Linked DNA regions of Anolis sagrei. The protein of the gene in region 1 purifies or fractionates together with the protein of each later gene. This does not show direct contact. Links are inferred from orthologs where the notes say so. Each region holds a gene or a part of one and is shown in the gene's direction. Other genes may lie near its edges.

Region 1 (6,959 bases):
ACAACTTGACCTTCATATTTCCTCTCCTGCAATGCAAAACTGTTGGGGAGTGTTGAATATGTCACATAATGCATTTTGTTGTGCAAGTTCACAGTAGATGACAAAAATCCTCTAATAAGTTTTCAACATGAACTGAGAATTTGCTGCAGTAAAATCAGTGTGTATTGGGAGGGGGATTCCTTGGCAGATGAGTTGAGGTAGGAAGAAGTCCTTGAAGGTAGAAAATTTAAATTAAAAATAAGCTTTTCAGTTTCCTTTTAATCTGTAAGCAGAAAAGCAAAGTTTTCCAAATACACAATCTACGTGTGTGTGTGTGTGGAGGGGGGTAGAGGGGGGTGCTTCCTAAATACAAATATAGGGAAAAGCAAGAAAGGGAATACATATATAGTGCTTATTTAACTGGCACCCATGGAGATTGTTAGATGCGGATAAATGTAACTTCTGGTTGCTTGAGCGTAAGTATTTAAAATAGGCCTAGCTGTACCATAGCATACACTTGACTTCATATTAATATTGAAATGCCGTAATTAAAAGCAAATAAAGACAAATATAACTCAATGCAACACAGTTTTACTGTATTATAAAAACAGGTTTGGGAATGAATTATTATTCTATTTTGTTGTTGTTTCCTTGGGTTCTGGTTAACTGCAAGTCTACTGTATTTGGAATTATTATTTTTAACGCAGAACACATCTTGGATTTTTCATGTCTCATTATACAGCACACATTCTTCTGTTTGCCTGTCATTACAGATGCATCCCTAGATTAATCCAAGGAGGACTCGCTGTTGCCACAGATGTTCCATGTGATCATTTCAGCACTAGCATACCTTAATCCATCCTGACCAGACAGTTACAGCTGCTTCTAGATAACATGGTAGATATTCTATTCCTCTGGGGAAGCAGCAGGTGTTCCTACCTGGGGCCTGAAACTCTTAAGAGGACTTTGGATAAGCAGAACACTCAGTAAAGTTACGCTGTTGTGTTTAAGTAATAAGAAAAGCTTATAAACATACTCTTTCCATAATGATTATTGAATAGCCAGAATTTCTCATATACTTGATGACTTCCATCTAGTTGCAAGTCCTGAATCAGTTGGATTCACATAAATCTTGGCTTCATGTTTGCCAGGTAACACAACAACATCATTGTGTAGGGAATGGAAGGAATGTGAAGGATGCAGTAGATGACTGTGTAAATTATTTTAACTACTACATCCCTCTCAGTTTATCCAGTTAAGATAATATAAACCAACAACTAATCTTCTAAAACTGATGTACTGCTACGAGGCTCACAAAAGTTATGAGTCCTGGAATTAAAGAAATAATACATTTTGAAGATATCAAAGTGAACTGATAATAATTTAAGAGAGACAGATTGTAATGATTTTGGAAGCAACATCATTTAATGAGAGGCTATCTTGTTCATTATGGAGGGGGGGGCTTTTATAACATGCCCATTTTATTATGATTTGGCAAGTGGGGTGAGTCTATAAGAAAGATAAGTAGCCTGCCTAAGACCAACCAATGAGTACGTGGTTGCCCTCACATTTGTCCCTATGCTCTCCAAAGACACCTGCTACATGAAACAAGGTACGAAATGTGGATGCTTACATTCACTTATAATCAGCTGTGGTTATTTTGGCTGTTGGCACTCTTTCCTTCTTTCTGTCGTTTGGTTAACATGACTTTCTTCTCATTCTTTGCTGTCATATTCTCCACTACTAAAATTTAAATTACAAGTACATCTAAAACAAGGACTTAGGGTGCGTCCATACCAAGCATGAGCAAAGTTTGTCCCTCCAGGTGTTTTGGATTTCAACTCCCACAATTCCTAACTAGCTGGGATTTCTGGGAGTTGGAATCCAAAATCCCGGGAGGGCCAAAGTTTGCCCATGTCTGGTCTATATTGTAGAATTAATGCAGTTTGGCACCATTGTAACAGTCATGGCTCAATGCTATGGAATCATAGAGAGGCACCAAGGAGGCCACATACAGCTCTTGTAAAGCTACAACTCCCATTATTCCATACATTGAGCCAAGGCAGCTAAAGTGGTGTCAAACTGCACTGTAGTTCCATGGTTACCAAACGTGAGTCATGCAGTAGTTTGGGACTTCAGCTCCCTTAAGCCTTAAAGCCCTTCCAGACAGGCCCTATATCCCAGGACCTGATCCCAGGTTTTATGTTTTTCCCAGATTATCTGGCAGTGGGGAGTCATATAATCCAGTTTAAAGCAGAAAACCTCGGATCAGATACTGGCATATAGGGCCTATCTGGAAGGGCGCTTAGTCAGGAAATTTGGGATATGAAGCCTCAAAATCTGTACAAAGTTTGGGAATCACTGCTGTAGATTGTTTCCCAAACACAGGGCCCTTCCATATAACCCAGAATATCAAGGCAAAAAAAATTAAATCCCACATTATCTGCTTTGAACTGGGTTATTTGAGCCCACGCCGCCATATATTCCAGTTCAAAGCAGATATTGTGAGATTTCCTGCCTTTATATTCTGGGTTGTATGGCTGTCTGTAAGGGTTCTGATCCCACACTGCCATATATTCCAGTTCAAAGCAGAAAATGTGGGATTTTATTCAGCTGTGTGGAAGAGGCCCCAGAATATCAAGGCAAAAAAAAAAAAAAACCCTCACAATATCTGTTTTCATCTAGATTATTTGAGTCCACACTGCCATATTTATTTAATATATATAAATACTGTAAATAAATAAATATATAAATAAAGCCAAAGTCCTCTAAGGGCCCTTCCACACAGCCCTCTAGCCCAGAATATTAAGGTAGGAAAACCCACATGACCTGAGTGTGGACTCAGATAACCCAGTTCAAAGCAGATATTCTGGGATTTTCTGCCTCGATGTTCTAGGTAGGATATTGGGCTGTGTGGAAGGGCCCAATGAGTTTGGGATTTCAGCTCCCAGAATCTCTGACCATTGGCCAAGGCAGCCGAGGCTTCTGGGAGTTGAAGTCTAAACACCTAGAGGATTAAAGTTTGGGAAGCATTGAAAGGAGCAAATCGTGACAGAGTTTTGTTGTTCTTGTTCATTCGTTCAGTCGTCTCCGACTCTTCGTGACCTCATGGACAAGCCCACGCCAGAGCTCCCTGTCGGCCATCACCACCCGCAGCTCCTTCAAGGTCAGTCCAGTCACTTCAAGGATGCCATCCATCCATCTTGCCCTTGGTCGGCCCCTCTTCCTTTTGCCTTCCACTTTCCCCAGCATAATTGTCTTCTCCAGGCTTTGCTGTCTCCTCATGATGTGGCCAAAGTACTTCAACTTTGTCTCTAGTATCCTTCCCTCCAATGAGCAGTCGGGCTTTATTTCCTGGAGGATGGGCTGGTTGGATCTTCTCGCAGTCCAAGGCACTCTCAGCACTTTCCTCCAACACCACAGCTCAAAAGCATCGATCTTCCTTCGCTCAGCCTTCCCTAAGGTCCAGCTCTCACATCCGTAGGTGACTACAGGGAATACCATGGCTTTGACTAGGCGGATCTTTGTTGCCAGTCTGATGTCTCTACTCTTCACTATTTTATCCTGATTGGTCATTGCTCTCCTTCCAAGAAGTAAGCGTCTTCTGATTTCCTGGCCACAGTCTGCATCTGCTGTAATCTTTGCACCTAGAAATACAAACTCTGACACAGCCTCCACATTTTCTCCCTCTGTTTTGTGACAGAGTTTACAAGTCCCTATTAGAGGTCGAGGCTCAAGTCAGAACTACAGCTCCCATCAGCCCTTGCGAGCACACGCTCTCACTTCCCTCAGCGCCTATTCTCTCCTCCTCCAAGAGGCGGCCTGCTCAGCGTATCCCCTGTCGCAGGGCTTGTTGGGAAGTGTAGTCCAATAGCGGTGCCGGAATCTGCTCGGTAAACGGGCCTGGGACTACATTTCCCAGTGAGCCGAGCGGGAGGAAAGCAGGGGCTTCCTGTTTGCCGCTGCGCTGTCTGCGGCCTTGCACTGAGGGAAAGGGAGGGAGAGCGGGGGCGGCCTAGGCCCAGGCCTCAGGCCCGGAGCTGGCGGGGGAGCAGCGGCAGAGGAGAGGGGCGATGGACCCGGCCGAGGCGGTGGTGCAGGAGAAGGCCCTCAAGTTCATGGTGAGGAGGAAGAGAGAGGGAGGGTTTGTGGCGGAGGGAGGAAGTGAATGGCGAAGAAGAAGAGGAGGAGGAGGGAGGCGATACGGGCTGAGAGGTTTCCCTGGCAACCCGGGGTACCTGCGAAATGAGGTAGTGGCTGGAGGAGAAGGAAGGGGGGTAAGCCCGCCATAGCTCTTCCCTACCTGTTTCCAAGAATCTTTAATATGTGTTTTTTAAATTCAACAACAAGGCTCTAAACTGCAATGATGGAGGCTTTGTGGTATCAGTGGCTGGTTGGAGGAGGAAGAAGGACAACGATTGGGAAGCTAGTGAAGGAAAAGTAGTCAAGGCCTGAGAAGAGGGAATGATGCAGCAGCTGATGGGATTTAGCATTCCTTTGGCTTTGAAGAGGGTTCTTGGTGACAGACTTTGAATGATGCAGGTGATGGGTTTATCTTTGTTTGTTTTTAAGTGGAGGGCTGTATTTGTTCTAAGCCAGGGCCCTTCCACACAGCCATCTATATAAATAAAAATGTAATGTTCGTTTGTGGGATTCATGTAACTCAAAAGCTACTGGATGAATTGACACCAAATTTGGACACAATACAACTATCAGGTCAACAAATGACCATCACTCATAAAAACACTGAAAAACACAGTGGAAGAGACTTAAAAAGCCCCCCCCCCAATACATTACAACGCATGTGCAAAACCACATATATACACATATACACAAATATGCATATTTATACACACACAAAACATATACACCAACTGTACCACAGAAATTCGTGGCAGGGACGGCTAGTATAAAATAGATTATCAAGGCAGATAATCCAAAATAACTTCTTTGAACTGGGTTATCTGAGTCCACACTGCCATATAACCCAGTTCAAAGCAGATAATGTGGGATTTTATGCAGCTGTGTGGAAGGGGCCCTAGAATATCAAGGCAGAAAATCTCGCAATAAGTCCACACTGCGATATAACCCCTTTCAAAGCAAATAATGTGGGATTTTATGCAGCTGTGTGGAAGGGGCCCCAGAATATCAAGGCAGAAAATCCCGCAATAACTGCTTTGAACTGGGTTATCTGAGTCCACACTGCCATATAATAATAATAATAATAATAATAATCTTTATTTATACCCCGCCACCATCTCCCCAATGGGGACTCGGAGCGGCTTACATGAGGCCAACCCCAAACAGAAAATTACAATAAAATAAAACCGAAAACGCAAACAATAAACAACAAACAACATAATTACATAAAACATAAGAGGGTTCTTGGTGACAGTATGAATTATGCAGGTGATGGTTTTTATGGTTGTTGTTTTTTAAGTGGAGGGCTGTATTTGTTCTAAAACAAGGTTAATACACCCAGGGCCATTCCACACAGGCATATAAAATAGAATATCAAGGGAGATAATCCACAATAACTGCTTTGAACTGGGTTATCTGAGTTCACATTGCCATATAACCCAGTTCAAAGCAGATAATGTGGGATTTTATGCAGCTGTGTGGAAGGGGCCCTAGAATATCAAGGCAGAAAATCCCACAATAACCGCTTTGAACTGGGTTATCTGAGTCTACACTGCCATATAATAATAAACTTTATTTATACCCCGCCACCATCTCCCCATTGGGGACTCGGAGCGGCTTACATGAGGCCAACCCCAAACAGAAAATTACAATAAAATAAAACCGAAAACGCAAACAATAAACAACAAACAACATAATTACATAAAACATATGAAAATATAGCAATATAAAATTACAATAGGCACAATCACAATGACAAAGGGCGGGCTACATATAATGATTAAAAGAGAGACTGATTAAAACTAATTAAAACTCAGGCGAGATAAGAGAGAGTCAGATTATTTGCGGAGGAGGACTCATAGTGGGGGTTGTGGAATCAGGCTTTTTCACAAAGGGGGGGGGCATATACTCCAATGATAAAACGTTGAGGCTAAGCAATAGTGTGAGAATGTAAACCTGTTCATCAACCTAGTTCAAAGCAGATAATGTGGATTTTATGCAGATGTGTGAAAGGGGCCCCAGAGAATCAAGGCAGAAAATCCCACAGTAACTGTTTTGAACTACTGCCATATAACCCAGTTCAGAGCAGATAATGTGGGATTTTATTCAGAGGTGTGGAAAGGGCCTAGGCTAATACATCAGGTTAATGAAATCTTGGGTCATATTATTTTAAAAACTAAACTAGGTTGAAGTAAAAATGTTCAAGGTCTAACAAAAGGGGGTGATGGGTTAGCTGATGGGATTTCGCAATACTTGGTATAGTAGACTCTCAGGGATTTGTAGATGTCACATCAAAGTACTTTTTGGTTACGTGAGAGTTACCATTAAAAATAGGCCTCATACTATACCCCATTATGGACCCACCGCCAGGACTCTACTGCCACCGTGACTAATAGCCTATGGTGATAATAATGGAAAGCCAAAGAGTATGAAAGACGCTGGTGTGTTTTTAATTTTTTTTAAGTGGATGGTTTTCTAAAATAAGCTTAATACACTCAGGCTAATAACAAGATTAATGACATCTTGGGTCATTCTTAAAAATTAAAAAATGAACTAGAATGATGGGGCTTTATTGTGTTTTGGTAGAGGAGAGGAAAGAAGTCCAAATATTGGAAATATACTGAAGGAAAACCATGTGTGTGTGTGTGTGTCAGGAGTGACTTGAGAAACTGTAAGTTGCTTCTGGTGTGAGATAATTGGTCATCTGCAAGGACGTTGCCCAGGGGATGCCCGGATGTTTGATGTTTTAGCATTCTTGTGGGAGGCTTCTCTCATATTTCTGCATTGGGAGCTGGAGCTGACAGAGGGAGCGCCACCTGCTCTCCCCGGATTCGAACCGC
Region 2 (7,114 bases), on another chromosome or scaffold:
GGAATTTGGACAATGGGTTTATATATCTGTGGAATGTTCACATTTGGGCGTATTGAGTGCTTGTGCCAAGTTTGGTCCAGATCCATCATTGTGCTCTCTGGATGTAGGTGAACTACAACTCCCAAACTCAATGCCCACCAAACCCTTCCAATTTTTTCTGTTGGTCAGGGGAGTTCTGTGTGCCAAGTTTGGTTCAATTCCATTGTTGATGGAGTTCAACAATGATTGTAGGTGAACTATAAATCCCAGCAACTACAACTCCCAAATGACAAAATCATAATTTTTTGAGTGATGGTCACTCCTTGCGTTGTGAGACGTTTTGTTGCCAAATTTGGTGTGATTTCGTTCATTGGTTCTTTTGTTTTTAAGGTACTCATTATGCACAGTGTACCTTATGCAGTGTACCTTTTTAACTTGTATGCAGAACACATCATGCGATGTGCGGGGCTTGATGAATGCAAAGCTGGGGTGAAAATTGCTGGAAGAAACATTAACAACCTCAGATATGCAGATGACACCACTGTGATGGCCGAAAGCGAGGAGGAGCTGAGGAGCCTTGCCTTCTAATCAAGGTGAAAGAAGAAAGCGCAAAAGCTGGGTTGCAGCTAAATGTCAAAAACCCAAGATTATGGCAACAAGAATAATTGACAACTGGAAAATAGAGGGAGAAAATGTGGAGGCCGTGACAGACTTTGTATTTCTAGGTGCAAAGATTACTGCAGATGCAGACTGGCCAGGAAATCAGAAGACGCTTACTTCTTGGGAGGAGAGCAATGTCCAGTCTCGATAAAATAGTAAAGAGTAGAGACATCAGACTGGCAACAAAGATCCGCCTAGTCCAAGCCATGGTATTCCCTGTAGTAACCTACGGATGTGAGAGCTGGACCTTAGGGAAGGCTGAGCGAAGGAAGATCGATGGTTTTGAGCTGTGGTGCTGGAGTAAAGTTCTGAGAGTGCCTTGGACTGCGAGAAGATCCAACCAGTCCATCCTCCAGGAAATAAAGCCCGGCTGCTCACTGGAGGGAAGGATACTAGAGGCAAACTTGAAGTACTTTGGCCCCAGGTCTCGGCGGTGGCCGGGAGAGCTTTTGCACAATTAAAACTTGTGCGCCAGCTGCGCCCGTACCTTGGGAAGTCGGATCTGGCCACGGTGGTCCACACTCTTGTTACATCCCGGATAGATTACTGCAACGCACTCTACGTGGGGTTGCCTTCGAAGACTGTTCGGAAACTTCAATTAGTCCAGCGGGAGGCAGCCAGACTGCTCACCGGAGCGTCATACAGGGAGCATACCACCCCCCTGTTATGTCAGCTCCACTGGCTGCCGATCCAGTTCCGAGCACAATTCAAAGTGCTGGTTTTGACCTACAAAACCCTATACGGTTCCGGCCCAGCGTATCTGTCCGAACACATCTCCCTTTACGTCCCATCTCGGAGTCTGAGATCCTCTGGGGAGGCCCTGCTCTCGGCCCCGTCTTTGTCATAAGTGAGATTGGCGGGGATGAGGAGCAGGGCCTTCTCAGTGATGGCCCCTCATCTATGGAATTCACTCCCTGGGGAAATTAGATCAGCAACATCCCTCCTTTCCTTCAGAAAGAAATTAAAAACATGGATGTGGGACCAGGCGTTTGGGCAATCTGGCAGATGAATAAAGGACTGTGACGACGGATAGGAATTGGACAAGGTGGAACGAAATATGGACTCTGAGTTGGCGAACGCTGTGTCTGAGATTGGCTATTGATTGTGAGATATATTGTTGTTTTAATTGTTGACCATTTAATTGCTGGTTCTATATGTTATTGTATTTGTGTAGGCACCAAGATGTGCCTTTTTGTAAGCCGCCCTGAGTCCCCCCTCGGGGGTTGAGAAAGGCGGGGTAGAAGTATATGAAATAAATAAATAATAAATAAACATCATGAGGAGACAGCAAAGCCTAGAGAAGACAATGATGCTGGGGAAAGTGGAAGGCAAAAGGAAGAGGGGCCGACCAAGGGCAAGATGGGTGGACGGCATCCTTGAAGTGACTGGCTTGACCTTGAAGGAGCTGGGGGTGGTGACGGCCGACAGGGAGCTCTGGCGTGGGCTGGTCTATGAGGTCACGAAGAGTCGGAGACGACTGAACGAATGAACAACAACTCCCAAACTCAAGGTCAATGCCCACCAAACCCTTCCAGTATTTTCTGTTGGTCATGAGAGCTCTGTGTGTGGTGGAAGCTCCTTCTTTGGAAGCTTTTAAACAGAGGCTGGATGGCCATCTGTCGGGGGTGCTTTGCATGTGATTTTCCTGCTTCTAGGCAGGGGGTTGGACTGGATGGCCCATGAGATCTTCTCCAACGCTATGATTTTATCATTCAATTCCATCGTTGATGGAGTTCAGAATGCTCTTTGATTGTAGGTGAACTATAAATCCCAGCAGCTACAATTCCCAAGTGACAAAATAATAATTTTTTGAGTGATGGTCACTCCTTGTGTTGTGAGATGTTTTGTTCCCAAATGTGGTGTGATTTTGTTCATTGTTTCTTTTGATTTTTAAGGTACTCATTATGCACAGAGCATTTATATATATATAGATACAACCACAACAATAAACATAATAATAAACATAATAATAATAATAGTAATAATAATAATTACCAAAATTAACAAAATGAAGTTCAACAGTGACAAATGCAAGATACTCCACTTTGGCAGAAAAAACAAAATGCAAAGATACAGAATGGGGGACAATGTCTGGCTCGAGAGCAGTACGTGTGAAAAAGATCTTGGAGTCCTCGTGGACAACAAGTTAAACATGAGCCAACAATGTGATGTGGCGGCAAAAAAAGCCAATGGGATTTTGGCCTGCATCAATAGGAGCATAGTGTCTAGATCTAAGGAAGTGATGCTACCCCTCTATTCTGCTTTGGTTAGACCACATCTGGAATATTGTGTCCAATTCTGGGCACCACAATTCAAGAGAGATGTTGACAAGGTGGAATGTGTCCAGAGGAAGGTGACTAAAATGATAAAAGGTCTGGAGAACAAGCCCTATGAGGAGCAGCTTAAGGAGCTGGGCATGTTTAGCCTGAAGAAGAGAAGGCTGAGAGGAGATATGATAGCCATGTATAAATATGTGAGAGGAAGCCACAGGGAGGAGGGAGCAAGCTTGTTTTCTGCTTCCCTGGAGACTAGGATGCAGAACAATGGCTTCAAACTACAAGAGAGGAGATTCCATCTGAACATGAGGAAGAACTTCCTAACTGTGAGAGCCGTTCAGCAGTGGAACTCTCTGCCCCGGAGTGTGGTGGAGGCTCCTTCTTTGGAAGCTTTTAAGCAGAGGCTGGATGGCCATCTGTCAGGGTGATTTGAATGCAATATTCCTGCTTCTTGGCAGAATGGGTTTGGACTGGATGGCCCATGAGGTCTCTTCCAACTCTTTGATTCTATGATTCTAAGAGAGGAGATTCCATCTGAACCTGAGGAAAACTTCCTGACTGTGAGAGCCGTTCAGCAGTGGAACTCTCTGCATCCGAGTGTGGTGGAGGCTCCTTCTTTGGAAGCCTTTAAACAGAGGCTGGATGGCCATCTGTCAGGGGTGATTTGAATGCAATATTCCTGCTTCTTGGCAGAATGGGGTTGGACTGGATGGCCCATGAGGTCTCTTCCAACTCTTTGATTCTATGATTCTATTAAATACAAGCACAACAATAAACATAATAATAAACATAATAATAATAAATCAGCTGAGGCATACTCCTATTTCCTCCTTCTCTTTCCCCAACCCTTTCCTCTTTTTCCCTCCCTGCACACACAAAACAAACCCATGCTGCCCTGGTTGCTCCAGCCAATCCTGCCTGCTTTGGTCCCCTTTCCCCAGCCTTCCCCCCCTTTCTCAAGGAATGGACTCGCCCGCCTCCCGGAGGGGAAACAAGGCGAGAGGCCGCCCTGATTGCGAGGAAAGGGGTGGGAGAAGTCAGGGGGGCGTGGGGAGAGGAGGGAGGAGGAGGAGTTGGGCGCCTTGTTGCTATGGGGAGATGGCGAGGAGGGGAGAGGAGGCGGCAGCAGCCAGCCAGCCAGCCAAGCCAGAGGAGCAGCTGCTGCTGGTCGGTGACACATTTCCCCTTCTCTGCTGCCTCTGCCTCTGCTGCTGCTGCTGCCATATTGAGAGAGAGAGAGACCCTTCCTCAACTCTCCCCCCTTCATGAGGACAGTGAGTTGCAACCTTTGATTCCCTCTTGAGGTTTGGGCAGAACCCCCTCCAAACACCTCCAAATCCTATTCTCTCCTTTCCCTCCAAACTGGGCATGCCTTTCCTTCCTATTCCCATTATCTCCCCATCCCCAATTTCAGATTTCATAATGTTTAGCCTTTTTTGGGATGTGTAGTTCCACTTTGGCATGTAGGGTTGAAATAAAGCAGTGGCATGGTGACTTTGGAAGGCAGCATGTGCCTTTACACAATGGTGCACAATGGAGTGCCATTTGGAGGGGTGCCTTTCCTTTTGGAGAGGTCTTTTTGGGAGATCTAGGATAGATGAGGGTTTGAATGTGTGTCAGAGAAAGAAATAAAGGGGGTGTAATTTGGGGGGGGGGGGGTTGGTTGTGCCATTTGTGGCTCTCCATTGTATCAAGCCAGGTTTTGAGTATGCATATATATGCACTTGGATATTGTTGGAGGAACAAATGGTTTTGCAACTGGGGACTTTGGAGGAAATATATTGCTTTATCTCTGCCATGGATTTGGTATTTATTTTCCAAGGCAGAAAAAAAGGGTCTCTTCTATTCCAAACCAGTTGTTTGTGAATATTTGGAGAGGATATTGGAATAATAATAATAATAATATTTGGAGAGGATATTGGAATAATAATAATAATAATATTTGGAGAGGATATTGGGAATAGTTGTGTGTGAATATTTGGAGAGGATATTGGAATAATAATAATAATAATAATAATAATAATTGGAGAGGATATTGGGAATAATTGTTAATATTTTGAGAGTATCTCTTTGCGAAAGCTTGGGAATGGGATTTGGAGCGAAAGAAGAGGGAATGAAATATTAACACATAATTAAATATACAGTTATTAAAATTAAGTGAGTTTTGTGTATGGCAGTGACATAGACAGAAGGTTATTTCTGATCCAAACTTTACATTGTGTAAAGTTAGGATCAGAAATAACTTCACATTGTGTTAGTATTTGGTGTTTTGTGCCTTTTAATTTTTTGTTTTGTGCCTTTTAATATCTGTCTTTTAATGTTGTTGTGCTTTATTTGTATGTGGTTTAAGCCACATACAAATAAAACACAGAATTAAACATACAATTATTAAAATAAATGAGTTTTGTGGATGGCAGTGCCATAGACAGAAGGTTATTTCTGATCCTAACTTTACATTGTGTTAGTATTTGGGGTTAACATATTTTGTTTTAATATATGTCTTTTAATGTTGTGTTTTATTTGTATGTGGTTTAAGCCACATACAAATAAAACACAGAATTAAACATACAATTATTAAAATAAGCGAGTGTTGTGTATTGTAGTGCCATAGACAGAAGGCCATTTCTGATCCTAACTTTACATCTGTTAGTATTTGGTGTTAACATATTTTGTTTTAATATATGTCTTTTAATGGTGATATGTTTTATTTGTGTGTGGTTTAAGCCATGAGGAGAGGTGGGCAACAAATACACTGCCACCATCATCATTATTTTACTATTGTTGTTGTTGAGATCGAGTGGCCTCTGATTAGGACCCCCAAACTGTTCCAATTTGGACTCAGATCTTCAGTATCTTTTTGCACGCTTTCATGTGGATGGGAGAGTTTGGGTTGAGTTTTAGGGGCTATTTTGGGGCTCCTAATTTATCTCCCCTTTTCCCAATCATTCTTGGAGGCCTGCCTAGAGTTTCCCCCATCAAACATTGGGGTGTTGGGAATGAATATACTATCTCTTTAAGGGGTCTGATTGGGACCCCCCAACTGTTCCCCTTTAAGACTCAGATCTTCAGTATCTGGGAATGAATAATATCCCTTTAAAGGGGAGAAAGGGGTCTGATTAGGACCCCCAAACTGTTCCCCTTTGGACTCAGATCTTCACAGTATCTTTTTGCACGTTTTCATGTGGGTGGAAGAATTTGGGTTGTGTTTGGGGGCTTTTTTAGGGGTTCCTAATTTGTCTCCCGTTTTCCCAATCTTCCATGGAGGCCTGCCATCCAATTTTGGGGTGTTGGGAATGGATACATCCCTTTAAGGGAGGGAGAAAGGGGTCTAATTAGGATACCTAAACAGTTGCCTTTTGGACTCAGATCTTCAGTATCTTTTTGCACACTTTCATGTGGAGTTTGGGTTGAGTTTTAGGGGCTATTTAGAGGTTCATAACTTGTCTCCTCTTCTCCCAATCATTCTTGGAGGCCTGGCTAGAGTTTTCCCCATCAAATTTTGGGGTGTTGGGAATGAATATATCCCTTTAAGGGGGGGGAAAGGGGGTCTGATTAGGATCCCCAAACAGTTGCCTTTTGGACTCAGATCTTCAGTATCTTTTTTCATGCTTTCATGTGGATGGAAGAGTTTGGATTGAGTTTTAGGGGCTATTTTGGAGGTTCCTAATTTGTCTCCCCTTTCCAATCTTCCATGGAGGCCTGCCGTACAATTTTGGGGAGTTGGGAATGAGTATATCCCTTTGAAAGGGGAGAAAGGGGCCTGATAGGATCCCCAAACTGTTCCCCTTTGGACTCAGACCTCAGACTCACTTTCATGTGGATGGAAGAGTTTGGGTTGAGTTTTAGGGGCTATTTTGGGGTTCCTAATTTGTCTCCCCTTTTCCCAATCTTCCTTGGAGGCCTGCCATACAATTTTGGGGTGTTGGGAATGAGTATATCCCTTTGAAAGGGGAGAAAGGGGTCTGATAGGATCCCCAAACTGTTCCCCTTTGGACTCAGACCTCAGACTCACTTTCATGTGGATGGAAGAGTTTGGGTTGAGTTTTAGGGCCTATTTTGGGGTTCCTAATTTGTCTCCCCTTTCCCCAATCTTCCTTGGAGACCTGCCTAGAGTTCCTTCCATCCATTTTTGGGGTGTTGTAAGTGGATAGATCCCTTTACGGGGGAGGAAAGAGGTCTGATAGGATCCCCAAACTGTT
Region 3 (8,023 bases), on another chromosome or scaffold:
AAACTAGGACTCTGAGCAATGGGTTCAAATTATAGGAAAGGAGATTCCACTTGAACATTAGAAAGAACTTCCTGACTATACGGGCTGCCACTTTTAGACTCTGTGTTAATAGAATCCTGGGTTGTATAGTTTGCTTATTTATTTATCGTGACCGAACAATTGTATTGCATTTTTTAACAAACAAACAAACAAACAAAACACAAAGTTTGCAAGCTTGGTAGTTAATTAAATGTCCTTTGACCAGTATCTGGCTCTTCTCCACACTCGCATGTTGTGGATTCCACTTTGTGGCCCCATTTCTTGCGGTTGGCTCTGCATCTCATGGTGCCAGAGCGCAGTCTGTTCAGCGCCTTCCAAGTCACCCAGTCCTCTGTGTGCTCAGGGGGGAGTCTCTCATTTGATATCAGCCATTGGTTGAGGTGTTGGGTTTGAGACTGCCAGTTTTGGACTCTTGCTTGCTGAGGTGTTCCAGCGAGTGTCTCTGTAGATCTTAGAAAACCATTTCTTGATTTAAGTCGTTGATGTGCTGGCTGATACCCAAATAAGGGATGAGCTGGAGATGTCTCTGCCTTGGTCCTTTCACTATTGGCTGCTACTTCCCGGCAGATGTCAGGTGGTGCAATGCTGGCTAAGCAGTATAATTTCTCCAGTAGTGTAGGGCGCAGAGATCCCGTGATAATGCGGCATGTCTCATTAAGAGACACACCTACTGTTTTAGTGTGGTGAGATGTGTTCCACACTGGGCATGCATACTCAGCAGCAGAGTAGCATAGCACAAGGGCAGATGTTTTCACTGTGTCTGGTTGTGATCCCCAGGTTGTGCCAGTCAGCTTTCGTATGATATTATTTCTAGCACCCACTTTTTGCTTGATATTCAGGCAGTGCTTCTTGTAGGTCAGAGCACGGTCCACAGGTTTTTTTTTTTCGTGTCAGGAGCAACCTGAGAAACTGCAAGTTGCTTCTGGTGTGAGAGAATTGGCCGTCTGCAAGGACGTTGCCCAGGGAACACTCTGATGATTTGATATTTTACCATCCTTGTGGGAGGCTTCTCTCATGTCCCCACATGAGGAGCTGGAGCTGATAGAAGGGACTCATCCGCCTCTCCCCGGATTCGAATCTGTGACCTGTCGATCTTCAGTCCTGCCGGCACAGGGGTTTAACCAATTGCGCCACCGGGGGATCCACGGTCCAGAGTGACTCCCAGATATTTTGGTGTGCTGCAATGCTCCAGTGGGATTCCTTCCCTGGTAATCCTCAGAGCTCGGGATGCTTGGTATATTTTGCTGAGACACCAACAGTCTTTCATCATAGGAGCGCAGTGGGTTAAACCCCTGTGTTGGCAGGTTGCAGGTTCGAATCCAGGGAGAGGCGGATGAGCTATCAGCTCTAGCTCCTCATGCGAGGATATGAGAGAAGCCTCCCACAAGGATGTTTTTGTTGTTCATTCGTTCAGTCGTCTCCGACTCTTCGTGACCTCATGGACCAGCCCACGTCAGAGCTCCCTGTCGGCCGTCACCACCTCCAGCTCCTTCAAGGTCAGTCCAGTCACTTCAAGGATGCCATCCATCCATCTTGTCCTTGGTCGGCCCCTCTTCCTTTCGCCTTCCACTTTCCCCAGCATAATTGTCTTCTCTAGGCTTTGCTGTCTCCTCATGATGTGGCCAAAGTACTTCAACTTTGTCTCTAGTCTCCTTCCCTCCAGTGAGCAGTCGGGCTTTATTTCCTGGAGGATGGACTGGTTGGATCTTCTCGCAGTCCAAGGCACTCTCAGCACTTTCCTCCAACACCACAGCTCAAAAGCATCGATCTTCCTTCGCTCAGCCTTCCATAAGGTCCAGCTCTCACATCTGTAGGTGACTACAGGGAATACCATGGCTTTGACTAGGCGGATCTTTGTTGCCAGTCTGATGTCTCTACTCTTTACTATTTTATCGAGAGTGGACACTGCTCTCCTCCCAAGAAGTAAGCGTCTTCTGATTTCCTGGCCACAGTCTGCACCTGCAGTAATCTTTGCGCCTAGAAATACAAAGTCTGTCACGGCCTCCACATTTTCTCCCTCTATTTTCCTGTTGTCAATCATTCTTGTTGCCATAATCTTGGTTTTTTTTTATGTTTAGCTGCAACCCCGCTTTTGTGCTTTCTTCTTTCACCTTGATTAGAAGGCTCCTCAGCTCCTCCTCGCTTTCGGCCACAAGGATGATAAAACATCAAAAAATGCCTCTAGAACATGGCCATAAGAGGAGAAATGCCTCTAGAACATGGCCATATAAGAGGAGAAATGCCTCTAGAACATGGCCATATGAGGAGAAATGCCTCTAGAACATGGCCATATAAGAGAAAATGCCTCTAGAACATGGCCATATAAGAGGAGAAAATGCCTCTAGAACATGGCCATATAAGAGGAGAAAATGCCTCTAGAACATGGCCATATAAGAGGAGAAAATGCCTCTAGAACATGGCCATATAAGAGGAGAAAATGCCTCTAGAACATGGCCATATAAGAGGAGAAAATGCCTCTAGAACATGGCCATATAAGAGGAGAAAATGCCTCTAGAACATGGCCATATAAGAGGAGAAAATGCCTCTAAAACATGGCCATATAAGAGGAGAAAATGCATCTAGAACATGGCCATACAGCCCGGAAAAACCTACAACAACCCATCAAAAAATCATCCGGGCGTCCCCTGGACAATGTCCTTGCAGATGGCCAATTCTCTCACACCAGAAGCGACCTGCAGTTTCTCAGGTCGCTCCTGGCACGACAAAAAAACAAAAACAAAAACAAAAAACCCCATAGTTTCTAGCCCATGCCTGGGCCAACATGGGCCCTCCACATGTTTTGGAGTTAAAACTATGGCTATTAGGAATGTATAAATATGTGAGAGAAAGCCACAGGGAGGAGGAGGAGGGAGCAAGCTTGTTTTCTGCTTCCTTGGAGACTAGGACGCGGAACAATGGCTTCAAACTACAAGAAAGGATATTCCATCTGAACACGAGGAAGAACTTCCTGACTGTGAGAACCGTTCAGCAGTGGAACTCTCTGCCCCAGAGTGTGGTGGAGGCTCCTTCTTTGGAAGCTTTTAAATAGAGGCTGGATGGCCATCTGTCAGGGGTGATTTGAATGCAACATTCCTGCTTCTTGGCGGAATGGGGTTGGACTGGATGGCCCATGAGGTTTCTTCCAACTCTTTGATTCTATGAATTGTGGGAGTTGAAGTCCAAAGAGCCTGGAGGGAGGGCCCAAGTTGGCCCAGGCCTTGCCTAGAATCAGTGGGAAATGTATTGTCGAAGGCTTCGACAATACATTTCCAGAGGTTCCCAGAAGACATCACGGCGCTGTTTCACCATTGCCTCACCACCAGCTATTTTCAGTGGGACAATGAATTCTACGAACAGAAAGATGGAGTAGCTATGGGGAGCCCTCTCAGCCCAGTCATAGCTAACTTCTACATGGAACAATTTGAAAAACAAGCTCTTGAAACAGCAACCAAAAAGCCCACTATATGGTTCAGATATGTGGATGACACTTTCACCATTTGGAGCCATGGAGAAGAAGAACTCAACAGGTTCCTGGAACATCTTAACAGCATCCACCCTAACATCCAGTTCACTATGGAAATAGAAAAGGAAGGAAGACTGCCTTTTCTAGATGTCCTAGTCATCCGCAAACCAGATCAACAATTGGGTCACACCGTCTACAGAAAACCCACACACACAGACAGATATCTACATAAAAACTCCAACCATCACCCAAGTCAAAAAAGAAGCACCATCAAAGCCTTGGCAGACCGTGCAAAAAGAATCTGTGAACCCCACCTCCTCCAAGGTGAACTGAACCACCTCAACTGGGCTCTACAGGCCAATGGATACTCCACCTCAGACATCAGAAGAGCTGCAAGACCAAGAACAAGCCACAAGAATAAAGATGAAGATCCACCCAGAGGAAAAGTGTCCCTGCCATACATCAAGGGAACCACTGACCGGATAGGGAAGCTGATGAGGAAACACAACATACAAACAATCTACAAACCCACCAAGAAAATTCAACAAATGCTACGTTCAGCAAAGGACAAGAGGGATCCTCTCACCTCTGCAGGAGTCTACCGTGTACCATGCAGCTGTGGACAAGTCTACATAGGGACCACCAAACGCAGCGCCCAGACACGCATCAAGGAACATGAAAGGCACTGCAGACTACTCCAACCAGAGAAATCAGCCATAGCAGAGCACCTGATGAACCAACCTGGACACAGCATTCTATTTGAGAACACAAAAATGCTGGACCACTCTCACAACCACCATGTCAGGCTACACAGAGAAGCCATTGAAATCCACAAACATGTGGACAATTTCAACAGAAAGGAAGAAACCATGAAAATGAACAAAGTCTGGCTACCAGTATTAAAAAATTCTAAAATTAAAACAGCAGAGAGAAAAACAGGCAGGGACATCTAATCACCTTTCATTAAGAGTTTGCTCCAGGCACAGTCAGCCCATTGTATGCTAATCAAGGTGGTCAATTGAAAAGATTCACACCTAGCCCATCTTACAGTAGCCTTTTGTCTCACCCTGGTCTTTCCACAGATATATAAACCCCCCTTTTTTCCCAGCTCCAGACCTCACCCTCTGAGGATGCCTGCCATAGATGCAGGCGAAACGTCAGGAGAAATGCCTCTAGAACATGGCCATATAGCCCGAAAAAACCCACAAGAAATCAGTGGGAAAGCCGCCATGTTTGGCCAACACGCGAGACAGGCGTCATCTTTCCTTGCTCCCCGTTTCTTCCCCTCGGCCAATCAGAGAGCGGGTCAGGGCGCGCTTTCTCTTAGCCAATCAGGGAGCGGGCCAGCGCGCGCTTCCCCCCGACCAATCGGAGACCGCGTCAGGGCGCGCTTTCCCTTGTTCTCCAATCAGCGAGCGGGAGAGGGACAGTAAGTAGGGCGCCGGGCACGTGACCGCGACGCCACCACCACCGCCGCCGCATTCCTTCCGTCCGCCATTTTAGGTTGGGATCAGCGAGGCGGCGCCATTAAAGCGCAAGAGAGAGACAGAGAGAGAAAGAGAGAAGGCGTGAGAGAGAGAAAGAAAGGAAGAGAAAGAGAGGAGAGCGAGGCTGCTTCAGTTTGAGCCGGCTTTCCTCCCCGTTTTGCCGACTCCCGCTTTCTCCTCAACTCCCAACATGTCGGACCAAGACTTCATGGGCGACGCAGGCGCTGCCGAGGCCTTTGACGAGGAGGCTGAGCAGCTGGAGGGAGTCGCGGTCGGAGGGAACGACGAAGAGGACGGCGCGGAAGGCGGCGGCGGCGGAGGGGGCGGCGGCGAATCCGAAGGCGCCAAAATCGACGCCAGCAAGAATGAGGAGGATGAAGGGTACGTTGGGTATGTTTCAACCGAACCGAACCGGGCCTGGGAAACGGGGGTGCGCGACGCGTGTGTGGTGTGTGCTGTGTGTCCCCCTCCCCCCATTCCCTTCCGCCATGCAGGAAGTCACAATCAAAGCCCCCCCGACAGATGGCTATCCAGTTTCTGCTTTGAAAACTCCCAGAGAGAGAGAGGCCCCACCCCTCCCCCCGCTTCCCCATTCTCTTCCGCCATGCAGGAAGTCACAATCAAAGCCCCCCCGACAGATGGCCATCCAGTTTCTGCTTTGAAAACTCCCAGAGAGAGAGAGGCCCCACCCCTCCCCCCGCTTCCCCATTCCCTTCCGCCATGCAGGAAGTCACAATCAAAGCCCCCCCCCCGACAGATGGCCATTATTATTATTATTATTATTATTATTATTAACATTATTTATACCCCGCAAAATCTCCCGAAGGACTCGATGCGGCTCACAAAGTCCAAGGCCGCCAACAACACAACATACATAATACACAATAAACTTAAAAGCAAATAATAAATTTTTGAGTCCCCCTTCCCCATTCCCTTCCGCCATGCAGAAAGTCTCAATCAAAGCCCCCCCCCCCCCCCGACAGATGGCCATCCAGTTTCTGCTTTGAAAACTCCCAGAGAGAGAGAGAGAGAGGCCCCTCCCCCCACAGGTCTTCCTCAGACTGTAATACTCGAAGTAAAAAATTAAAATACTGATATTGTACCATGCTAATAAAATAATATATATGTAATGTAATATAATGTATTGTATATACATGTAATTTTATATACAATGTAAATTTTTACTAATATTATATAATGTAATATAATATATTGTATATACATATAATATTTATAACATAATGTAATGCAATATAATACTCATAGTAATATATCATAATTATAAATTTATATTACATGTGATATTACTAATCATATTACAGTATAATTGATATAGTGCAATATAGCAATATTTAAAACTGATATTGTACTATGTTAATAATATATTGTATGTATATATACCTTGTAAGCCGCTCTAAGTCCCCTTCGGGATGAGAAGGGCAGCATATAAATGTCGTAAATAATAAATAAATAAATAATATATTGTATATGCATATATTTATATTATAATGTAATGCAATATAATACTAATAGTAATATATAATAAAATTTTATTTATATTACATGTAATATTACTAATACTACAATATAATGGTATAGTACAATATAGTAAGATGTTATACTGATATTGTACTATGTTAATAATGTAATGTATATACATATATTTTTAATATAATAATGTAATGCAATATAATACCAATAGTAATATATAATAAAATTATATTTATATTACAATATAATTATATTGTAATATTACAATATAATGGTATAGTACAATGTAGTAATATTTAATACTGATATTGTACTATGCTAATAATGTAATATAATATTACTAACAATATTATATAATTAATATATCTTGTATATACCTATAATATTTATAATATATTGTAATGCAATATAAGACTAATAGTAATATGATATTATAATAGTATATTTATATTAAATTTAATATTACTGACAATATTATATAATTAATATATTGTATATACATATAATATTTATAATATAATGTAATGCAATATAATACTAATAGTAATATGGTATTATATTTATATATTTATATTAAATTTAATATTACTAACAATATTATATAATGTAATATAATACCTTATATATAGATATATTTATAATATAATGTAATGAAATATAATACTAATAGTTATATGATACTATAATTATATATTTATATTACATGTAATGCTACTAATATTACAATATAATGGTATAGTACAACATAGTAATATTTAATACTGATATTGTACTATGCTAATAATATAATATATTGTATAAATATATATCTTGTAAGCCGTTCTGAGTCCCCTTCCGGGTGAGAAGGGTGGCATATAAATGTCGTAAATATATATAAAATAGTGTTACAGTTTTATTGTAGGTTAAGTTTGCCTTAATATTTCAATTAAGTTTGTATTTATCTATCTATCTATCTATGAGATAGAATATCAAGGCAAGGAGATTTCACCACCCGCCCAGGCAGCAGCATATTCCACTGTCCCAATTTCTTCCCAAAACTGTAATACTTTTAAGTAAAAAAAACAAACATGTATAACAGTGTTGCAGTTTTACCGTAAGTTCAGTTTGCCTTAATATTTTAATTACTAATTCCATTGTTGGAAATTATTCATACTGTAATACTTAAAGTAAAAAAATAAAATACATATATAATAATGTTACAGTTTTTTAAAAATACTTTTTTTATTGCATGCAGGTAGAAAAATATCACAATTTATCACCATTTCAGAATACATATAAAATATCATTTTCTTAGTGTTCTTACCCATGCCTAATCCACCTTTATCTCCCACTTGTGTCTATTGATTTTACATCCCCTCCCCCATCCCCCAATAGTGTTACAGTTTTATTTTAGGTTAGGTTTCCCTTAATACTTCAATGTGTGTGCATATATGTGTGTGTGTATGTGTGTATGTATGCATGTAATAGTGTACCTAGAGAAGAAAAATTCACCACCTGCCCAGAGGCAGCAGCATATTCCACTGTCCCAAGTTCTTCCTCATGC
Region 4 (7,694 bases), on another chromosome or scaffold:
TTATTTCCGCATGTCTGTGGCAAGTTTTATAGTTGTTTTTTGTTTAATTAGTGAAAAAAATTATAATATCACACCAACAGTCAACAACAGAGGGAGAGGGAAGCTTCAGAAGTTCCCCCTGTCCCATTTGGAGGTTGTTTAGCGTATTGCGCGGTCGCGTCCGCCATTAACGAATCGATTCGTTAATGTTTCGTATTTGTTTCGTTAATGTTTCGTAATTTTTTAAACATTTACGAAATTTCGTAAATATCGAACTTTTTAAAAGAAAAATTTCGGAATTCTTTTAAATATTGAAACGCAAAAACCCCCAAAAAACGAATCGATTTTAGAAACAAATTTTTCCGTTGTTACCCAGGCCTAATAGATAGATAGATAGATAGATATGATCCACACACACACACAAACATGTATATGACAGATATAGTATCATAGATTTGAAAGGGACCCTCAAAGGACAATTATATGCTGCATGTTCCAGAGTAGCCAAACCAGACAACCTCTACATCAACACTGACAAAGAAACAACAAGAAATACTGTGTACTCACAAGTATAAAGAAATTACATATATTAGAAACCAACACTTTCTCATTACTTTACTTTCAAGTAGTAGTAGTAGTAGACTGGGCCACAGCAATGCATGGCAGGGAAAGGCTAGTAGAATTATAAAATACATTAAAACTTTTAAAACATTTAAGTCAATATCACAATTTTTAAAGTACGCTATCCATAATCGTAATCCGAGATGTCCTTGCACATAATTCTATATCTGTTTATTGCACGGTTTCTCCAAAGGCTTGATCAAAGAACCACGTTTTTACTCTCTCACTGAAGGTTAGGAGGGAGGGGGTTGATCTAATATTCCTTCAGAGGGAATTCCACAGCTGAGGGGCCATCACTGAGAAGGCCCTGTCTCTTGCCCCCACCAGTTGCACCTGCGAAGGAAGTGGGACCGAGACCAGGGCCTCCCCGGATCTTAAACTCTGAGATGGTTCATATGAGGAGATCTGTTAGGACAGGTAAGCTGGGCCGGAACCATTTAGGGCTTTATAGGCTAAAACCAGCACTTTGAATTGTGCTTGGTAGCAGACCGACAGTTAGTGGAGCTGACGCAACAGGGGAGTCTGCTCTGGTAAGCACTCTGGCTGCCGCCCATTGGACTATTTGAAGCTTCCAAACAGTCTTCAAGGGCAATCCTATGTAGAGCATGTTGAATTAATCTATATGGGTTGTAAACAGAGCATGGTCTACCATGGCCAAGTCTGACTTGCCAAAATACAGGCGCAACTGGCGCACAAGTTTTAATTGTGTGAATGCTTCCCTGGCCACTGCTGAAACCTGAGATTCCAGGCTCAGCAATGAGTCCAGGACTCCCAAGCTGCAAACCTGCACCTTCAGGGGGAGTGTAACCCCATCGAACACAGACTGTACCCTATACCATGCTTGGCTTTGTGACTGACCAGGAATACCTCTGTCTTGTCTGGATTCAATTTCAATTTGTTTGCTCCCATCCAGGCTGACACAGCTGCCAAGCACCGGTTCAAAACCTGAACAGAACCTACTTATTAGCAGGTGGAAAGGAGTAATAGAGTTGAATGTCATCTGCATACAGATGGCATCGAACTCCAAAACTCCGGATGATCTCTCCCAAGGGCTTCATATAGATGTTAAACAACCTGGGAGACAGTATTGAGCCCTGCAGGACCCCGAGCAGGTGTCCCCCAACAACACCTTCTGGGAATGACCCTCTCAGAAGGACAGGAGCCCCTACAGAACAGTACCTCCAAAGCCTATTCCTGTGAGGTGTTCAAACTACAGGAAAGGAGATGCCACCTGAACATGAGGAAGAACTTTCTAACAGTGAGAGCTGTTCAGCAGTGGAACTCTCTGCCCCAGAGTGTGGTGGAGGCTCCTTCTTTGGAGTCTGTTAAGAAGAGGCTGGATAGCCATCTGTCGGGGCTGCTTTGAATGTGATTTTCCTGCTTCTTGGCAGGGGGTTGGACTGGATGGCCCACGAGGTCTCTTCCAACTCAATGATTCTATGATTCTATGAAAGCCCTGAATGCATGCTGCATTGCCCAAACACTGTGCTGACAACTTGCCCTCTGCAACCACATGGAAGTGGCCACCGTAGCTAGCTATTACTATGTGCCATGATGGTGAAGGACGCCTCTCTGACCCCTTCAACACAGCTGAATAGACTCCAACAGTATCTGGTAGGCCTGGGTAACAACGGAAAAATTTGTTTCTAAAATCGATTCGTTTTTTGGGGGTTTTTGCGTTTCGTTATTTAAAATAATTACAAAATTTTCCTTTAAAAAAGTTCGATATTTACGAAATTTCGTAAATGTGAAAAAAATTACAAAACATTAACGAATCGATTTCCGAAACAATAACGAATCGATTCGTTAATGGCGGACGCGACCGCGAAATACGCTAAAAAACCTCCAAAAACTTCTGAAGCTTCCCTCTCCCTCTGTTGTTGACTGTTGGTGTGATATTATAATTTTTTTTCACTAATTAAACCATAAAACTGGCCCAGACATGCGGAAATAATAACAAAACGACCTCAGAACAATAACGAAACGAATACAATAACGAAATACGAAGCATTTGCAAAACGTGTTTAAAAATTCGTTTTTTTAAAAAATTGCTCCAGAATGGTTCGTTATCGTTTTGTAATTGAAAAAATTAACGAATTATTAACGAATTACGAATTAACGAAACGAAACCGCCCAGGCCTAGTATCTGGTATATATGGCAGTGGACTCAGGGCCCTTCCACACAGCCCTATATCCCAGAATATCAAGGCAGAAAATCCCACAATATCTGCCTTGAACTGGGTTATCTGAGGGCCTTTCCACACAGTCCAATATCCCAGAATATCAAGGCAGAAAATCCCACATTCTCTGAGTGTAGATTCACATAACCCAGGGCCCTTCCATACAGCCCTATATCCCAGAATACCAAGGCAGAAAATCCCACATTATTTGAGTGTGGACTCAGATAACCCAGTTCAAAGAAGATATTGTTGGGATTTTCTGCCTCGATATTTTGGGATACAGGGCTGTGTGGAAGGGCCCCTCAATAACCCAGTTGAAAACACATATTGTGGGATTTTCTGCCTTGATATTATGAGATATAGGTATTTGTGGAAGGGCCCTGAGTCCACACTCAGATAATACGAAATTTCCAGCCTCGATATTCTGGGATATAGTGCTGTGTTGAAGGGCCCAGGGTTATGTGAATCCACACTCAGAGAATGTGGGATTTTCTACCTTAATATTTTGGGATATAGGGCTGTGTGGAAGGGCCCTCAGATAACCCAGTTCAAAGCAAATATTGTGGGCTTTTCTGCCTTGATATTATGGGATATAGGGCTGTGTGGAAGGGCCCTGGGTTATCTAAGTCCACACTCAGATATTGTGGGCTTTTCTGCCTTGATATCCTGAGTTGTATGGCTGTGTGAAGGGCCCACAGAAAATCCAGTTCAAAGCAGATATTGTGGGTTTTCTGACTTGATATTCTGGATTATAGGGCTGTGTGGAAGGGCCCTGGGTTATCTGAGTCCAGACTCTGATAATGTGTGATTTTCTGCCTTGATATTCTGGGATATAGGGCTGTGCAGAAGGCCTTGGGTTATCTGAATCCCGACTCCGACAATGTGGGATTTTCTACTGTGATATTGTGGGTTATAGGGCTGTGTGGAAGGGCCCTGGGTTATGTGAATCCACACTCAGAGAATGTGGGATTTTCTGCCTTAATATTTTGGGATATAGGGCTGTGTGGAAGGGCCTCCAGATAACCCAGTTCAAACAAATATTGTGTGCTTTTCTGCCTTGGTATTATGGGATATAGGGCTGTGTGGAAGGGCCCTGGGTTATCTGAGTCCATACTCAGATATTGTGGGATTTTTTGCCTTGATATCCTGGGATATAGGGCTGTGTAGAAGGACCCTAAGTCTACACTCAGATTCTGTGGGATTTTCTGCCTTGATATTCTGGGATATAGGGCAGTGTAGAAGGGCCCTTCGATAACCGAGTTCAAAACAGATATTGTGAGATTTTATGCCCTGATATTATGGGATATAGGGCTGTGTCGAAGTGCCCCGAGTCCACACTCAGATATTGTGGGATTTTCTGCCTTGATATTCTGGGATATAGGGCTGTATGGAAGGGCCCTGGGTTATCTGAATCCACACTCATATATTGTGGGATTATCTGCCTTAATATCCTGCGTTATATGGCTGTGTGGAAGGCCCCTCAGATAACCCACTTCAAAGCAGATAATGTGGGCTTTTCTGCCTTGATATCCTGGGATACAGGGCTGTGTGGAAGGGCCCTGGGTAGAGTCCATGCTCAGATATTGTGAGATTTTCTGCCTTAATATCCTGGGTTATATGACTGTGTGGAAGGGGCCTCAGATAATCCAGTTCAAAGCAGATATTGTGGGATTTTCAGCCTTGATATCTTGGGTTATAGGGCTGTGTGGAAGGGCCCCCAAACTCCAGCCCGGATTTTCCAAGCTGCTTCAGAGGCTTGGGAGGCAGCATGCTGTGAGAACTGAGGCTGAGAGGGGCTCCTTCATCTCCAACCTCACACAGGGCTCAGCTTACCCTCCTCCTGCTGCTAAAGATCCCACCTTCTCAACAACAACAAAAAAGAAAGAAATCTTGAAAACTTTCCCTGAAAAAAAAAGAAAAAAAGAAAGAAAGCACCACCCTCTTCCTCCTCTTCTTCCTGAGCAGCCTGAAAGCCCTAAAGGGGAGTGTTGGGGGGAGAGATTTGGGGGAGAAAGAGGGGATCCCATCCCCTCCTGGCCCATCTCTCTGCTGCTGCTGCGCCCAGCCCTCCTTTCCCCAGCCGGCCGCCCAGGCGGAGCGGGCTGATTGGCTCCATGTGCCAAAGCTCAAGCAAAGCATCGGGAAAGTTTGGAAAGCAAACCAAAACTTCCTGCTTCAAGGTGGTCCTTCTCTCGGGCTCCAGACGGGAGGCTCGCACATTGATCATCGCGCCTGCTCCTGGGATGAAGTTGGTTTGATTTGAATCTCGGAGAAAAAGAAGAAGAAGGGGAGCAATATATATATTAATCAGCGTCGGTGGGATTTTCTGCCTCCCTTTTCTTTCCTCTACAAAAAGAAGGCAAAGCCACAATGTGGAAAATTTGGGGGATCTGGTGAAAGAAGCCACCCCCCTTCTCCCTCATCTCTTCTTCTTTCCTGATGGGGTTTTGTTGTTGTTGTTTGCGGGCGACACTCAGTAGCCCACCCTGGATGTTGCTAGCCTAGGGGAAACCAATCCGAAGAGAGAGGGAAACTGCCCATCTCGAGAAGCCCAAGAGCTGTGCTTGGGATCATCATGACTCCCCAACAATCCCCATCCAGGCTTTGAAAGGTAAGCTCTTTCTTCTTCAAAGCCCAGTTCTGTGTCTATTTGTGTGTATCTCCCATTGGTTTGGGGAGATGGACCTTATTTGTTTTGTTTTTGGCAACTGGCAGGTTTTGCCTTTCCAACACTCCTGAGTTTTTGTTTTTTTCTGACATGAGCAAAAAAGCAAGCAGCGTGGGTGGGAATTGGGAAAGGAATGGGAATGTTATGGGGTTTTTTTTCTTTCTTTCCTGAACTGCTACAAAGTTTGTCGGATTTGTCTCAACTTTCTTCAAAGGCCTCTTCCACACAGCTGTATAAAATCCACATTGGACTGAATTGTATGGCAGTGTGGACTCACATAATCCTGTCCCTGTGGATTCTCTGCTTTGATATTCTGGGTTATATGGCTGAGGCCCCTTCCAGACAGCTGAATAGAACCCAACAGTATCTGCTTTGAACTGGAATATATGGCAGTGTGGACTCAGACAACCCAGTTCAAAGCAGATATTATGGGATTGTCTGCCTTGACATTCTGGGTTATATGGCTGTGTGGAAGGGCCCCAAAAGGATTTTTGAAGGCTGGATCTATACTACCATATAGTCCAGGGGCCCTTCCACACAGCCATATAATCCAGAATATCAAGGCAGGAAATTCCACAATATCTGAGTGTAGACGCAGAACCTATCCACACAGCCCTGTAGCAAAAAATCCCACAATATCTGCTTTGAACTGGGTTATCTGAGAACCCTTCCACATAGCCCTATATCCCAGAATATCAAGGCAGGAAATCCGACAATATCTGCCTTGAATTGGAATATCTGAGGGCCCTTCCACACAACACTATATCCCAGAATATCAAGGCAGGAAATTCCACAATATCTGAGTGTAGACTCAGGACCTATCCACACAGCCCTGTAGCAAAAAATCCCACAATATCTGCTTTGAACAGCCCTATAGCAGAAAATCCCACAATATCTGCTTTGAACTGGGTTATCTGAGGACCCTTCCACATAGCCCTATATCCCAGAATATCAAGGCAGGAAATCCCACAATATCTGCTTTGAATTGGAATATCTGAGGGCTCTTCCACACAACACTATATCCCAGAATATCAAGGCAGGAAATTCCACAATATCTGAGTGTAGACTCAGGGCCCTTTGACACAGCCTTATATCCCATAATATCAAGGCAGAAAATCTCACAATATCTGTTTTGAATTGGAATATCTGAGGGCCCTTCCACACAGCCCTATATCCCATAATATCAAGGTGGGAAATCCCACAATATCTGCTTTGAAGTGGGTTATCGAAGGGCCCTTCCACACTGCACTATATCCCAGAATATCAAGGCAGGAAATCCCACATTGTCTGAGTGTGGACTCAGGGCCCTTCTACAAATTCCTATATCTCATAATATCAAGGCAGAAAATCCCACAATATCTGCTTTGAACTGGGTTATCGAAGGGCCCTTCCACACAGCCCTATATCCCATAATATCAAGGCAGGAAATCTCACAATATCTGCTTTGAACTGGGTTATCTGAGTCCACACTCAGATAATGTGGGATTTTCTGTCTTGATATTCTGGGGTATAGGGTTGTTTGGAAGGCCCAGAATCCACACTTCCATATATCCCAGTTCAAAACAGATAATGTGGTATTTTATTCAGATGTGTGGATGGGGCCCAGGTTATCAAAGCAGATCATCCACATCATCTCTGTTGAAGTGGATTCTATGAGGTCCCTTCTACACTGCCGTATAAAATCCAGATGATTTGCTTTGAACTGAATTATGTGGCAGTGCAGACTCCCATAATCCAGTTCAAAGCCAAAAATGTGCATCGTCTGATTTGATAATCTGGATTATATGGCAGTATAAAAGGGCCCTGAGTCTACACTGCCATATAATCCAGGTCAAAGGAGATAATTTGGGTCATATATGATAGTGTAGATGGGGCTGAAAACACATCTTGTCCAGGAAGAAGTTGGTGAGCTCCTGTCTTGAAACCCGGCCTCAAAAGCAAACTTTTGAGGGTGGTAAACTTTCTGATTCCAAGCAAGTTTCTACACTTTCAGAATTTTGATTGTTGGCCAGACCCAACAGAGAACGGACATTGCCAGATTGCTCTCCGCACCCCTCTCACATCTTTTCTTTCTGTCAGATTTTGATTCAACCACCCAAAAGAAGTCTCCATCAATCCTGTTCTGCAAAATCATAGAAACAGTTCTGATCCCATTAAAACTGGGGTAGGGATGTCAATAAACTCCACTAACAATTGATTTGCAAATAGTAATGGGAGTAAATGACAAATGATTGTTCGTACAATCC

The links.
Region 2: the proteins of BTRC (region 1) and FOXN2 purify together in Homo sapiens (affinity purification with mass spectrometry; 3 studies listed by BioGRID and IntAct, counting the BioPlex papers as one, with this or other methods). This does not show direct contact. The link is inferred for Anolis sagrei from reciprocal best matches to the Homo sapiens genes BTRC and FOXN2.
Region 3: the proteins of BTRC (region 1) and HNRNPD purify together in Homo sapiens (affinity purification with mass spectrometry; 3 studies listed by BioGRID, with this or other methods). This does not show direct contact. The link is inferred for Anolis sagrei from reciprocal best matches to the Homo sapiens genes BTRC and HNRNPD.
Region 4: the proteins of BTRC (region 1) and GLI1 purify together in Homo sapiens (affinity purification with western blotting; 3 studies listed by BioGRID). This does not show direct contact. The link is inferred for Anolis sagrei from reciprocal best matches to the Homo sapiens genes BTRC and GLI1.

What each region holds. Positions count from the first base shown.
Region 1 is NC_090023.1:216,207,927-216,214,885, forward strand, and holds the start of BTRC (F-box/WD repeat-containing protein 1A), read left to right. Parts: upstream 1-3,938; 5' UTR 3,939-4,052; coding exon 4,053-4,100; intron 4,101-4,179; exon of another isoform or gene 4,180-4,256; intron 4,257-6,959. UniProt on the Homo sapiens protein: Substrate recognition component of a SCF (SKP1-CUL1-F-box protein) E3 ubiquitin-protein ligase complex which mediates the ubiquitination and subsequent proteasomal degradation of target proteins. Recognizes and binds to phosphorylated target proteins.
Region 2 is NC_090021.1:20,799,867-20,806,980, reverse strand, and holds the start of FOXN2 (forkhead box protein N2), read left to right. Parts: upstream 1-3,994; 5' UTR 3,995-4,189; intron 4,190-7,114. UniProt on the Homo sapiens protein: Binds to the purine-rich region in HTLV-I LTR.
Region 3 is NC_090025.1:17,071,944-17,079,966, reverse strand, and holds the start of HNRNPD (heterogeneous nuclear ribonucleoprotein D0), read left to right. Parts: upstream 1-4,965; 5' UTR 4,966-5,179; coding exon 5,180-5,379; intron 5,380-8,023. UniProt on the Homo sapiens protein: Binds with high affinity to RNA molecules that contain AU-rich elements (AREs) found within the 3'-UTR of many proto-oncogenes and cytokine mRNAs.
Region 4 is NC_090022.1:185,741,265-185,748,958, forward strand, and holds the start of GLI1 (zinc finger protein GLI1), read left to right. Parts: upstream 1-4,578; 5' UTR 4,579-5,391; intron 5,392-7,694. UniProt on the Homo sapiens protein: Acts as a transcriptional activator. Binds to the DNA consensus sequence 5'-GACCACCCA-3'. Regulates the transcription of specific genes during normal development.